Danio rerio: one gene and its partners. The protein of the gene in region 2 purifies or fractionates together with the protein of the main gene of each other region. This does not show direct contact. Links are inferred from orthologs where the notes say so. Each region holds a gene or a part of one and is shown on either strand. Other genes may lie near its edges.

What was found. The genes of interacting proteins can lie anywhere in the genome.
Region 1: the proteins of anapc13 (region 2) and cdc26 purify together in Homo sapiens (affinity purification with mass spectrometry; 4 studies listed by BioGRID and IntAct, counting the BioPlex papers as one, with this or other methods). This does not show direct contact. The link is inferred for Danio rerio from reciprocal best matches to the Homo sapiens genes ANAPC13 and CDC26.
Region 3: the proteins of anapc13 (region 2) and anapc7 purify together in Homo sapiens (affinity purification with mass spectrometry; 3 studies listed by BioGRID and IntAct, counting the BioPlex papers as one, with this or other methods). This does not show direct contact. The link is inferred for Danio rerio from reciprocal best matches to the Homo sapiens genes ANAPC13 and ANAPC7.

The regions. Positions count from the first base shown.
Region 1 is NC_133180.1:62,620,741-62,624,856, reverse strand, and holds cdc26 (anaphase-promoting complex subunit CDC26), read left to right. Parts: upstream 1-1,566; 5' UTR 1,567-1,626; intron 1,627-2,115; 5' UTR 2,116-2,140; coding exon 2,141-2,221; intron 2,222-3,170; coding exon 3,171-3,356; 3' UTR 3,357-3,565; downstream 3,566-4,116. UniProt on the Homo sapiens protein: Component of the anaphase promoting complex/cyclosome (APC/C), a cell cycle-regulated E3 ubiquitin ligase that controls progression through mitosis and the G1 phase of the cell cycle.
Region 2 is NC_133196.1:25,982,043-25,984,946, reverse strand, and holds anapc13 (anaphase-promoting complex subunit 13), read right to left. Parts: upstream 1,450-2,904; 5' UTR 1,394-1,449; intron 1,324-1,393; exon of another isoform or gene 1,279-1,323; 5' UTR 1,273-1,278; coding exon 1,174-1,272; intron 916-1,173; coding exon 790-915; 3' UTR 628-789; downstream 1-627. UniProt on the Homo sapiens protein: Component of the anaphase promoting complex/cyclosome (APC/C), a cell cycle-regulated E3 ubiquitin ligase that controls progression through mitosis and the G1 phase of the cell cycle.
Region 3 is NC_133183.1:13,344,022-13,348,333, reverse strand, and holds the start of anapc7 (anaphase-promoting complex subunit 7), read left to right. Parts: upstream 1-1,461; coding exon 1,462-1,562; exon of another isoform or gene 1,563-1,822; intron 1,823-4,312. UniProt on the Homo sapiens protein: Component of the anaphase promoting complex/cyclosome (APC/C), a cell cycle-regulated E3 ubiquitin ligase that controls progression through mitosis and the G1 phase of the cell cycle.

The sequences.
Region 1 (4,116 bases), on a different chromosome or scaffold from region 2:
AAATTTCGACTTAAAATTGACGTATTTTTCGTTGTTTGGACGTCTTACAATTACGTCTTTTGGACGACATGAAAAAGACGTCTTTTCACGTTTCACTTTTCCACCTGTTTTCCACGTTGTTTGGACGCCTTACAATTACGTCTTTTCGACGACGTTAAAAAGACGTAGTTTCGTCTTTCACTTTCCCACCTGTTTTCCACGTTGTTTGGACGTCTGACAATGTCGTCTTTTCGACGTCTATTCGACGAACTATTGCTGGGTGGGGAGCTCATCTGTTTGTCGGAACTACTAGACACAATTTTTTTTATCAACTATAATGTGTTTAATTAGTTAATTTAAAATTCATTTCATTATTCCAGCAATAATTGTTGAGTGAAAGAATGCGCTAGAAATTTGCATTGCGGCTCCCTTTATTGTACAGGCTTATTGCACTTAAACTTTTTTAGGTTCGGCTCTCGAATTAGTAAGGTTATGAGTAAATGTTATTTAAAATATTTAAAGCCTGCCATCTAGCCTACAATAACAGCAAATTTAATAATAGAAAAAAATAATAAGACAGGCCTACTTTGGCGTTGCAATAAAATAGTATTAATTATCAAAAAAATAATTACAATATATAATTAAAATAGGAAGAAGTAAATGAAAACAAATGGTACCCTTTGTTTTTATAGCAGGGCCCAAAGTGTTCTTATTCTGGTTCTGCTAACAACTATTAAAAAGAAAAAAAACACACCAAACAATAAAAACACTAGTAACTGATATTAATAATAATAATAATTATTATTATTATAAAGCCCTATTATATTATTATAAAGATTGTTATGAAACAATCATGTAAACCAGGTGCTCCTCGGAAATGGCTATCTTTGCTCTGCATCAGGTGCACAGCAGCAAGAAGCTTGGCAGTGAACTATGACCTTATTTTAATGACAAATGTCTAAGAATACTGCTTTACGTTTTTATTTAATTTATACATACGCAATGAATGTAAGCCTGCTAACTGTGTGTGGTTCAAATGATAGAATATGTAAACTTAGTTAATATATAATTAAATAATAATAATTAAAAGCCTGCGTGTAAGGCTTTTATTTTGAGGGTGACGTCACGAGCGCAGATTTGGTTGACCAATTAGAGGAAAGTGGGCGTTTCAGCACCGCCTACATGTGTAAAATGAATTTTAAAGTCGTTTATCCGTTTTCCTACCCTAAACCAAAAAACGAAAATCCAGCCAAAATCTCGTTTTTTCGTTTTCTCGTGAGCAAAAGGAAAAACGGCCGTTTTCTCCATTTCCTTTATTCCGTTTGAAAATGGAAAACAAATGAACAAAACGTACACGGACCGTTCTAAAACAACAAGTTTTGTACATTTAGTTTTAAAGGTTTAACTAAATAAATCGATCAAAAACTTGAAGAAAAAAACTAAGGTTAATGAACATTTCAACCGTCTATGCCCTTAAATAGACAGTGAAAGAATAATTCAACTAATGCGATTATCAATTTAAAACTTGAAAAAATATAAAAACAGAAAAAACACACACGTTTATCCCTTTTTTCTCCCTTCACGCTTAAACTACATTTCCCATGATTCCTTCTGCTCTTTCTACGGTCTAAAGCGTGAATGATTACGGTAAGTGATGTGAGCTGAAATAGTCATCTTCTTTCAGTTTAGAATTGTTTGTCAATAGTTTGCCAAGCTTACTAAAATAAACGATCTTCACGGTTCATTATCCTGACGTTTGTCACTGTTTAAGACCCAGAATTTAGAGCTACTAGGCTAATTAGCATGTAGCTGCTAAACAATAACGTTATGGTGTTGAAGCAGGCGTCGCTGAATTTCTTGAAATTACGAAATACACAACACGACGGTAAACGTTCAAGTAAAGTGTACTGTGTATGCAGATATAATACTGCAATCATGGGCTTTTGCAACGTTAGGTTCCTTAAAACATAGCATTTGAGCTTTCTCAGAGTCAAAATATATATGAAGAGTTGAATAGAACTACCACAACTCAACTAGGTTAACCCATCGATTTCTAATGAACATACATTATATATGTAACGTTAACGTTAATAAGTGTGTAAATTAACTTAAGCAGCGCGTGTAACGTGTTTCCAGGCAACGAGAAGCCGGTGATGTGAAGATGCTGAGGAGGAAACCAACGCGCCTCGAGCTCAAGCTGGACGACACGGAGGAGTTTGAAAGTGTCAAGAAAGAGCTGGAGGTAAAATTTTGGACTTGTCATCGTGTCTTAAACATGTGTCATAAATAGTTGCTTCAATTTACTGTACACACATAAAGACATGTTCCTTCATCCCAGTGGGGACTCTCATAGACCCCTTAATGATGGTTCTACTGTACAAACAGTAGATTCTATCCCCCTACCCCTAAACACAACCCAATTTATCTGTACTGCATGTCTTTGGACTGTGGGGGAAACCGGAGCACCCGGAGGGAACCCACGCGAATGCAGGGAGAACATGCAAACTCCACACAGAAACGCCAACTGAACCATGGTTCGAACCAGCGACCTTCTTGCTGTGAGGCGACAGCACTAGGTCTGGTGCGACTGCTTCGTCCGAGGACAGGATTTTCCCGAATGTAATTCTATAAATTTGATGGGAGTAAACCCAATATAGAAATGTAAACAGAGATACGCTAGTGCTTGAGCCTACAAATGGACAAAGCAGTAAAATTAGTTATAAATCTTAGTGCAGCATGGTAAACAGTGTCCAGTGCATGCAGACTAGAAGACGAAGCATACATATAGATAACATCAGCGTAGTCCAATATCAACATAAATGTTGCATCAACCAGCTTTTTTGTAGCATCAAAAGTAAAGTTGTATTGGAGTTGTTCTACAGCTGATTTTGATAGACTACAGTTATGTGTTAGTAACCACAGCGAAAATATATTTCTGCTAAAAACATTATCAATTATGATTAAGTTATGATAATGATATTATTAGGTTATGAAAATGATACTTTAGTCCCTGCTCTCCCCTACTTAATTAAAATAAAGCAAAAATTCTTAGTCCACCACTGCAAATCAGTCAGTAATAGTGTGATTTCTTCATCATTCTTTTTCTCATTTAAAAGCAAGCATGTAAGCAAATCTTACAGAAAGTAAGAAGCTTTCTATAATCTCATGTTACTTTCCCCACATGTGTTAAGAGTCGGAAGAAACAGAGGGATGAGGTGGATGTCGTCGGTGTCGCCACATCCAGTGAGATGAGCGGAGCGGCAGGTGGCACTGCTGATGGGAAAACCAGAGAGCAGATGATTCACGAGAGAATTGGATACAAACCCCACCCCAAGCCTAACACGTTACCATCGCTCTTCGGAAACCTTCAGTTTTGACAAGTGCCAATCCTGAACAATGGACTATAAGGTCTTGAGAATCTGTAACACAGACACGTACGTGCACACAGAATATATTCTGCATCAATCTTGCCAGATTAGAAATGGACATAAAATTATGGCTTTGGTTAACGGTGTTTGTGATAACTGATTTCAAATGACTATTTTTCTATTGAAATAAATAAAGCCTTTCTAGTTGGATGTGGAAATGGTGTGTAAATGTGATATTGGCAGAATTATATTTTTGATAATACCGATTAGGGCGCAACGATTATAAATTTTGGTTGTACGATTATAGTATTAGAAATAATCACGTTTATCATGATTATTTGCATTCATTGATCCCAAAACCCCATTAGTTTATAAATAGTTTAAAACGGTTTTAAATTTTGTTTTATATATTGTGCCCAACTAAATATTTGTTGCTGGTTTAATCGTTTAATTTTATTTAAGTGCATATAAAAAATTCAGTGGATATTATTGATGCATTATTTGGTAAAACTGCTCATTCAATGTGTTTTTGGTCATTATCAATGCACCGGTAAAATAGACCCAGCGGCGAAACCACGACTGCTTGCATGATGCTCATGCCTCGTGTTGACGCACTGCTTCTGCATGCAGTATGAAAGCTCTAATCTGTTAACATGGATGCGAAAAAAAACACTCTCTGGTCATGCCTGCGGTGTGAAACAGGCTTGAGTCTTTCACCACTGTCTTTAAAAACATTCAGTTGATCCCAGCTGGGGATTCGCCACATGAT
Region 2 (2,904 bases):
CTTTTATGTCTAAATCTTTAGGATAGTATGCAACAACATTCTGTAAAGATACTTTATGATACGCATACTCTAAATACATCTAACCACATTTTTTGATTACTAATGTTCATTGCTAAGCACTTTATTTAAACAAATTTAAAGGCGTTTCTCTCTCAGTATTTAGATTTTTTTTTAACCGTCAGATTTGGTATTTTCAATAGTTGCATATCAGTATTTTGTACTGTCCAAACAAACTATACATGAACAGAAGGCTTAATTATTCAGCTTTCCCGTGATGTATAAATCTCAATATATACAAAATAAAATGACACTTATGGTCTGTTTTGTTCTACTGGGTAGCACAGTTGCACTAGAAATTATATATATATATAATATTTTCTTCTCAGAATTCCACTAAAAAGTTTAAATGAAATATTTTGTAACATTATAGGTCTAATTAATATCACGTTTAATCTATTTATAACATCCAAATAAAATTATACTTCAAACAAGGTTTTACTGACCCTCAGCTTTAGAACTACAACACGGAAGCCAACTTGTGAAGAAGTCTTGTGTAATTTAGCTCATATGAAACCCTATGTCAACGATAATTTTATCAACTAGCACACAAACTAACTGATACTGCACTTAAAATGTGTATCATTTTATTAAATAATTTATATCAAAACGATGAAACACCAATACAATAATACATGAGTCAGTTATTTTATAAATCTTGGATCCGGGACCCAAATTGCAGACAAACACACGGTGAAGAATCAGTCAGAGAGGATAAGAGAAGCTTCTGATCTAAGTGCCGACATTTGGGGTGTTTTCATGCAAACTCTGCAGGGCGAGATCTGACCACTTCATCTCTTGCTCTTTGACGGACTCTGTCGACCCACCATTGTCCTGCTCAGCTTCAGGAAGTTCACTCTGTCAGGAGAAAAAAACAAAATTGTCCAATGGGCTTCTACGCAATTTAAACACAGTAACGTTAAAGATATGCTCAAATAGTTTAGGGATTCTTGTGTGGAAATGTAACGTAAATGATGACAAACTATTTTTAAAACTGTATTTGATGTGCATAACGTTATCTCACTGTACACTGCCTTTCATTTATGTTCATTTTACCTTGGGCGTGCGCAAATCGAACTGCACACATCAAAACTCTACATTTATACTATTTCTTACCAGTGGGATCGTCACATCCTCGTATGGCAGTCTGTCCTCTCTCCAGGCATCATCTGTTAGATCAAGAACTCGTCCGTCTCTCTGCACTTCACTGTCCATGATTCGCTTACACGGCAACACACAGTCGACAGATCAAACGACGCAGAAACGCTGTACAGTAAGTTATGTTATGTTTGTTATTACGAAAGCTCCAAAATCATCTGTGTAAGTTCATACAAACCTGTGTAGTCTAGTTCCCAGCGCTGCCGTTTGTTGTTATGTCGCTTTCTGATGACGACATATCCTATGCATCAGACCTTTTCTGGCATATAAATATCTGGACAACTGTATACTTATTATATTTCTATGTTGTCAGCTATTTTTCGCATTAAACATAGTCGCATTAAATATGGCAAAGCAATGACAATGCACGTTTTTATTAATAATTTGTAAATATAATTTTTTTCTTTTTTTGGAAATATGTTCACTAACGTATAAACGAGAGAATCGTTTATATGTTTTCAGTCAAAAGATGCTTATTAATTACAGATTTGTGTACTTTAAATGCATATTTGAAATATATATTTGAGCAGATGAAAATCGATGCACTTTATAATGTGTGTGTGTGTGTGTATATATATATACACACATAAATATACTAATATATAGTATACTAATAAATATACTAATACACATATATTGTAACCATTGTAAAGACATGTAACGTTATACATGCTATACATTCAAACAATATCACCGTTTTGTAAATGTGTAAAACATATTTACAAGTATTTTTCTTCAGTATACAGAATGCATGTAAAAGCCATGCGCGGAGGTCGGGCAAGTAAAAACGACAATTACGTCAAGACGTCAAAAAATCGCCGAATCGTTACAAGCGGTTGAGTCGAGCTGTTCGAAACAACCGATACACGAAGGGTAGATGTACTAACCGCTCAACTAACGCCATGACCAGATCTCGAATCTGACCAATGAGCTGTGAGCAATCGAGCTCGCGCTGTAAGGAAGTGAGCCGCTATTGGCTGCATTCGACTGTGCTACTGCAGTGACAACAGAGGGTCAGAGGGTTTTTACTTCAGCTGTTTTTCCTCGCTGTTGTGTCTTCAAAAGCACCTTTACAGGTAAGCTGACTGTTACCTGCAATTACAGTATTAGCTTTGACTATTTGTAATCAGAAATCACAGGCTGTGCATTCTTTCTTGATCCTCTTTTGTTTATATTGTCTTAAAAGTACAAAGTTACAGTTTACAATGCTGGGGAAGGTGCAATTGCATGTACCTAAGTTAGTATTCTCCGTGTTTTTCTTTACCAGTATTTTGCTTAGATTATTACAGTACTGTTCACATGATTTTCTCTTCACTCACATTTTATGTCAAGACATTATTTTATCCACATGTCAGTTTTGAGACTTTTTTGTATTTTGTCATGCAGTGTTATTTGTTCAGTTAACAGTTAAAGAAAACATCCAAAATATTTTTGCCGTTTGTCCTTTGTCACACTTTATTTATTTGTGCCTGTAAATTTAATCTTCAATACATATTTGTAAAGACTTTTCTCAAAGGGATTTTTTTCTTGTATTCAGCTAAATATCTCCACTTCAGCAGCACTTATAATATATAGACCTTTACAGTTCTGTCTGTACTCTAAAGAAGTTTTAAAGAGTGACAGGTTAAGCAGATTACCAGATAATTTACCAGATTCCAAACATTTTATTGTACAAAAAACGTAAAAAGT
Region 3 (4,312 bases), on a different chromosome or scaffold from region 2:
TCATATCATGCTCAACTCTTATTACTCTTTTACGCTCTTTGAGAGTCTTGGCGGGATTTCAGAATGATATTTAGGCAACTATGAAGTAGCAGTACCGTCTGTGATGATAGGAGCAGCTTAATTCATTACATGTTTTGGTTAACTAATTATTTAAACACAACTTTCTTGAGCTCCAAAAGGAAAAAAAACACATAAGAAATTTGCTGTTAAATTAATTTTAGCAGAGACGCAACTGCCAGTCTTATTAGTTTTTCGGGAAGATGTAGCCTAATAAGAATGTTTTAATAAAAAAAATAGTTTACTACACAGTCTCACAGTAGGCTACACTATAAATAATATTTAAATTTATTTATTATTATTATTAATATTAATATTATTACAATTAAGCTAAAATTGACAAAACGCAGAACCCTTTGAATGCTTTCATCTTGCTAAAAAGCGCACTTTGTGTAGAGAAACATCCCATTATGCAGCAGCAGTCAAGCTATAATAATAAATATGCCTTTTGGGTTTAAAGATGATCGGCCTGCGAAGTCAAGTTTGCAGTGTTATAAATGGAAAAGGTATAGAACTTAAGTGGAATTACCGCGGATCAACCGAGGAACCACTCACGTGCGCTGCAGGTAGGCAGAAAGATAATCTTTTAAAAACATGTAATTTAGGCTATACTGCTATTTGCTCATGCAAATTAAACAACATAAAATATATTGTAGATCTATTTTAAGAGCTAAAATACAACATATCGAGTTCGTTTTGACTAGTAGCGCATGGCCCTAAAATGAAAATAACCTGAAAACAAGCTATTAAAAAAGGCTTAATAAATAAAATAATTAATAAATAAAATAACGGGTTGGCCTAGTAACCTAATGGTTTATGATGGTTTGCAATATCACGAAAAAAACACACTTATGATAGCCTAAGATAAATATTTGTTTTTAAATTTAAAATGATGTTTGTAATTAGCATTTATCGTCAAAATAACTTTATTTTAGTTAGAATAAATTGCTGACTTTTTAACATAAACTTAATCCACTCATATTTCGCCATTGCCACAAAAGTTATTTTCTAGACATTTTTTGCATTTAATGTATAGAAAAGATTTTTTTTAAAGCGAAAAAAAAAACACTAATCTGTACATTTGTTCGTTTCTCTCGTAAACACAGTGAAACTATTGTCAAATGTTAGAAATCATACTTGATTAATGTATTTTTAAAGCATATGCTTAATTTTTTTTGTAAAATGTGAAACTTAAGACCAAATAACCTCAAACCTGAAATATTGTAAACAACACTTGCCAAGAGCGGCGACTTTTCTTTTGGCGATATATCCGACTTTTATTTTGAAATATTATTGTTTCCTGCAGTTCAAAAAATCTTTTCTCCGTCACTGTGCTGTGTTTTCCGCTGCGCTGCGTATCGATTACTTACCAGAATTGTGCTTTCAGACTCAAAGATTTTGAAGATGAATGTGATCGATCATGTGCGGGATATGGCAGCGGCCGGACTGCACTCTAATGTCCGGATCATCAGTAGTTTACTCCTGACCATGAGCACCAACAACCCGTGAGTGCGTCACTATATAAACACACCTGGAAGACTGACCAAATATTGGATATTACATGTGATGTGTTATTTATTAAAAACAGATATGTGACGTCATAATACAGTAAGCTTAAGTGAAGTAATGTAACGTTAGTGTAATTTAATAAGAGCAACAATACCGTCAGATATTTAGGTAAAGTTGGTCACATTCGTTCAGGGACAACTTGTAACACGCTCTCTATATTGTTTACTATGGTACTTTGATTATTAAGTCAGCAATGGTATGTAAACATGACTTCAAAACAACAATACCACCATTTAATTGACTGTGAACAATGTTGTACTTTAATAGTCGCTCGCTGTTAATATGATTTTACTATTCGTAAATTGCAAAGAATCCTTTTCGGAAAGTATATTATTAAGGAGGAAGTCAGAATGTGCGAATATAAAACCAAATTTACCCCAGTGTCCACAATTCACTATGGTATTAACCATTGTTTTTCCAAAAGTGCTAGTTATTTTTTTTATTAACGTTAGCTATCATAGTTTTTGGGTATCTCCTTTAGGTAAGGCAAGTTTATTTCAATCACCAGGGTAATTCAAAGTGCTTTACATAAACAAGAATAAAAGAATCAAGAAAATAAAAAATAAACTAATTAAAAATGATTAAAAACATAATAAAATGTTTTATTTTTCAGCATTCTTTCAACATTCATTTTGTGGACATTCATATTGTGAATATTTCTACAGTATATCATGTGTGTATATCAATTTTAAAGTCATAATTATGATAGCGTTTACTATTTTGGCAAAACATTGTTATTGTTTGTTTGTGTGTATGTTTGGATATGTTTATTAACTGAACACCCAAGGTTTATTTTACTTTTCTCTTAAAGGTGTTAACATATTGTATTTTACTGTGCAAATTGTAATAATTAAAGCGTCTGCACTATTGTGGCATAACATGACATTATTATTATTATGTTTAGGTATTTCTGATTAGGCATGGGCCAGTATAAGATTCTGACGGTATGATAACCTTGGTTAAAAATATCATGGTTTCACGATATTGGGATTGCTGCCCTAAAATAACTTCTTTTTAAATGTCTCGGTATAAAAGAAACATTTTTTTCTACTTTGCACACAATATATATTATTTTGAGAAATATTTTAAATATTTTGGAGCAGTAAACATGTCAGGCTAAATAAGAACCATCGTTATACAATGACTTGCCTAATTACCCTAACCTGCCTAGTTAACCTAATTAACCTAGTTAAGCCTTTAAATGTCACTTTAGGCTGTATAGAATTGTCTTAAAAAATATCTAGTCAAATATTATTAACTGTCATCATGACGAGATAAATAAATCAGTTATTAGAGATGAGTTATTAAAACTATTATGTTTAGAAATGTGCTGAAAAAAGCTTCTCTCCGTTAAACAGAAATTGGAATAAAAAAAAAAAACATGGGGGCTAATAATTCCGACTTCAACTGTATATACAATTTTATTGTCTTAATCATGATAGTGACTGCTATTTTGGCAAAACATTATTGCTGTTTATTTGTTTGTTTGTATGTTTGGATTTGTTTATTAGTATTAACGCCCTGTGTTATATCAATATTTTTCTTGAAGGTGTTAATATATTGTATTTTACTGTGCAAATTGTAATAATTATAGCGCCTGCACTATTTTGGCAGAACATAACACTATTAATATGTTTAGGTATTTCTGATTAGGCATGGGCCGGTATAAGATTCTGACGGTATGATAACCTTGGTTAAAAATATCATGGTTTCACGATATTGGGATTGCTGCCCTAAAATAACTTCTTTTTAAATGTCTCGGTATAAAAGAAACATTTTTTTCTACTTTGCACACAATATATATTATTTTGAGAAATATTTTAAATATTTTGGAGCAGTAAACATGTCAGGCTAAATAAGAACTAAATAACTTCTTCTGCCTTCATTTGTTTAAAAAACACAGATTTCCGTACAATTTAATACAGCATGTTAGGACATTTTTTTCTGCTGGAGATACTGTTGTCCTAATAAAAAAAATAAAAAAACGTAAATAAAAAAATCTTACACAATCTTAGAAACTGTGTAGCAGAAAATTTTGGTGGTTTTAAAACCTTGACTTTTCCAAACCACGGTATATCTTGAAAACGGTTATCTTCCCATGTCTATTTCTGATTAGATTTGTTAATTAAACTCCCAAAGTGTCCCAAAGTTATATTTCTCCTCATGGATATTTCTTACTTGTACATATATACACATATTTAATGTCTTAATTAATATCCGTAGGGATTCTCTATTGAGGTAAAACTAAAACATTACTTGTTTTTGTATTTTTGGATCAGTTTATTATTTTAAAACCCGGTTCCCCATTGAGAAGTCAGATGTGTTGACATTTAGGTTCACCCCAAAATGTACATTTTTAGTAGGACATTAAAAAAGAAAATTTATTCATTCATTCATTTTCCTTCAGTTTAGTCCCTTTATTCGTCAGGGGTCGCCACATAAAGGCATAAGTTAGCTTTTTTTCTAAATCAATCATTGTTTTGAATGAATCGTTTGAGTCAACGGTTCACTGATCTATTCATAAAGACAGGAATTTCCTTAAGAATATGTTTAAATATGTCTCTTCACGAATATATACACACTATATCATGTATATATACAGTTAAAGTCAGAATTATTAGCCCCCCTTTTGCATTTTTTCTTTTCTTTTTTTTTTTTTTAATATTTCCCAAATTATGTTTAACAG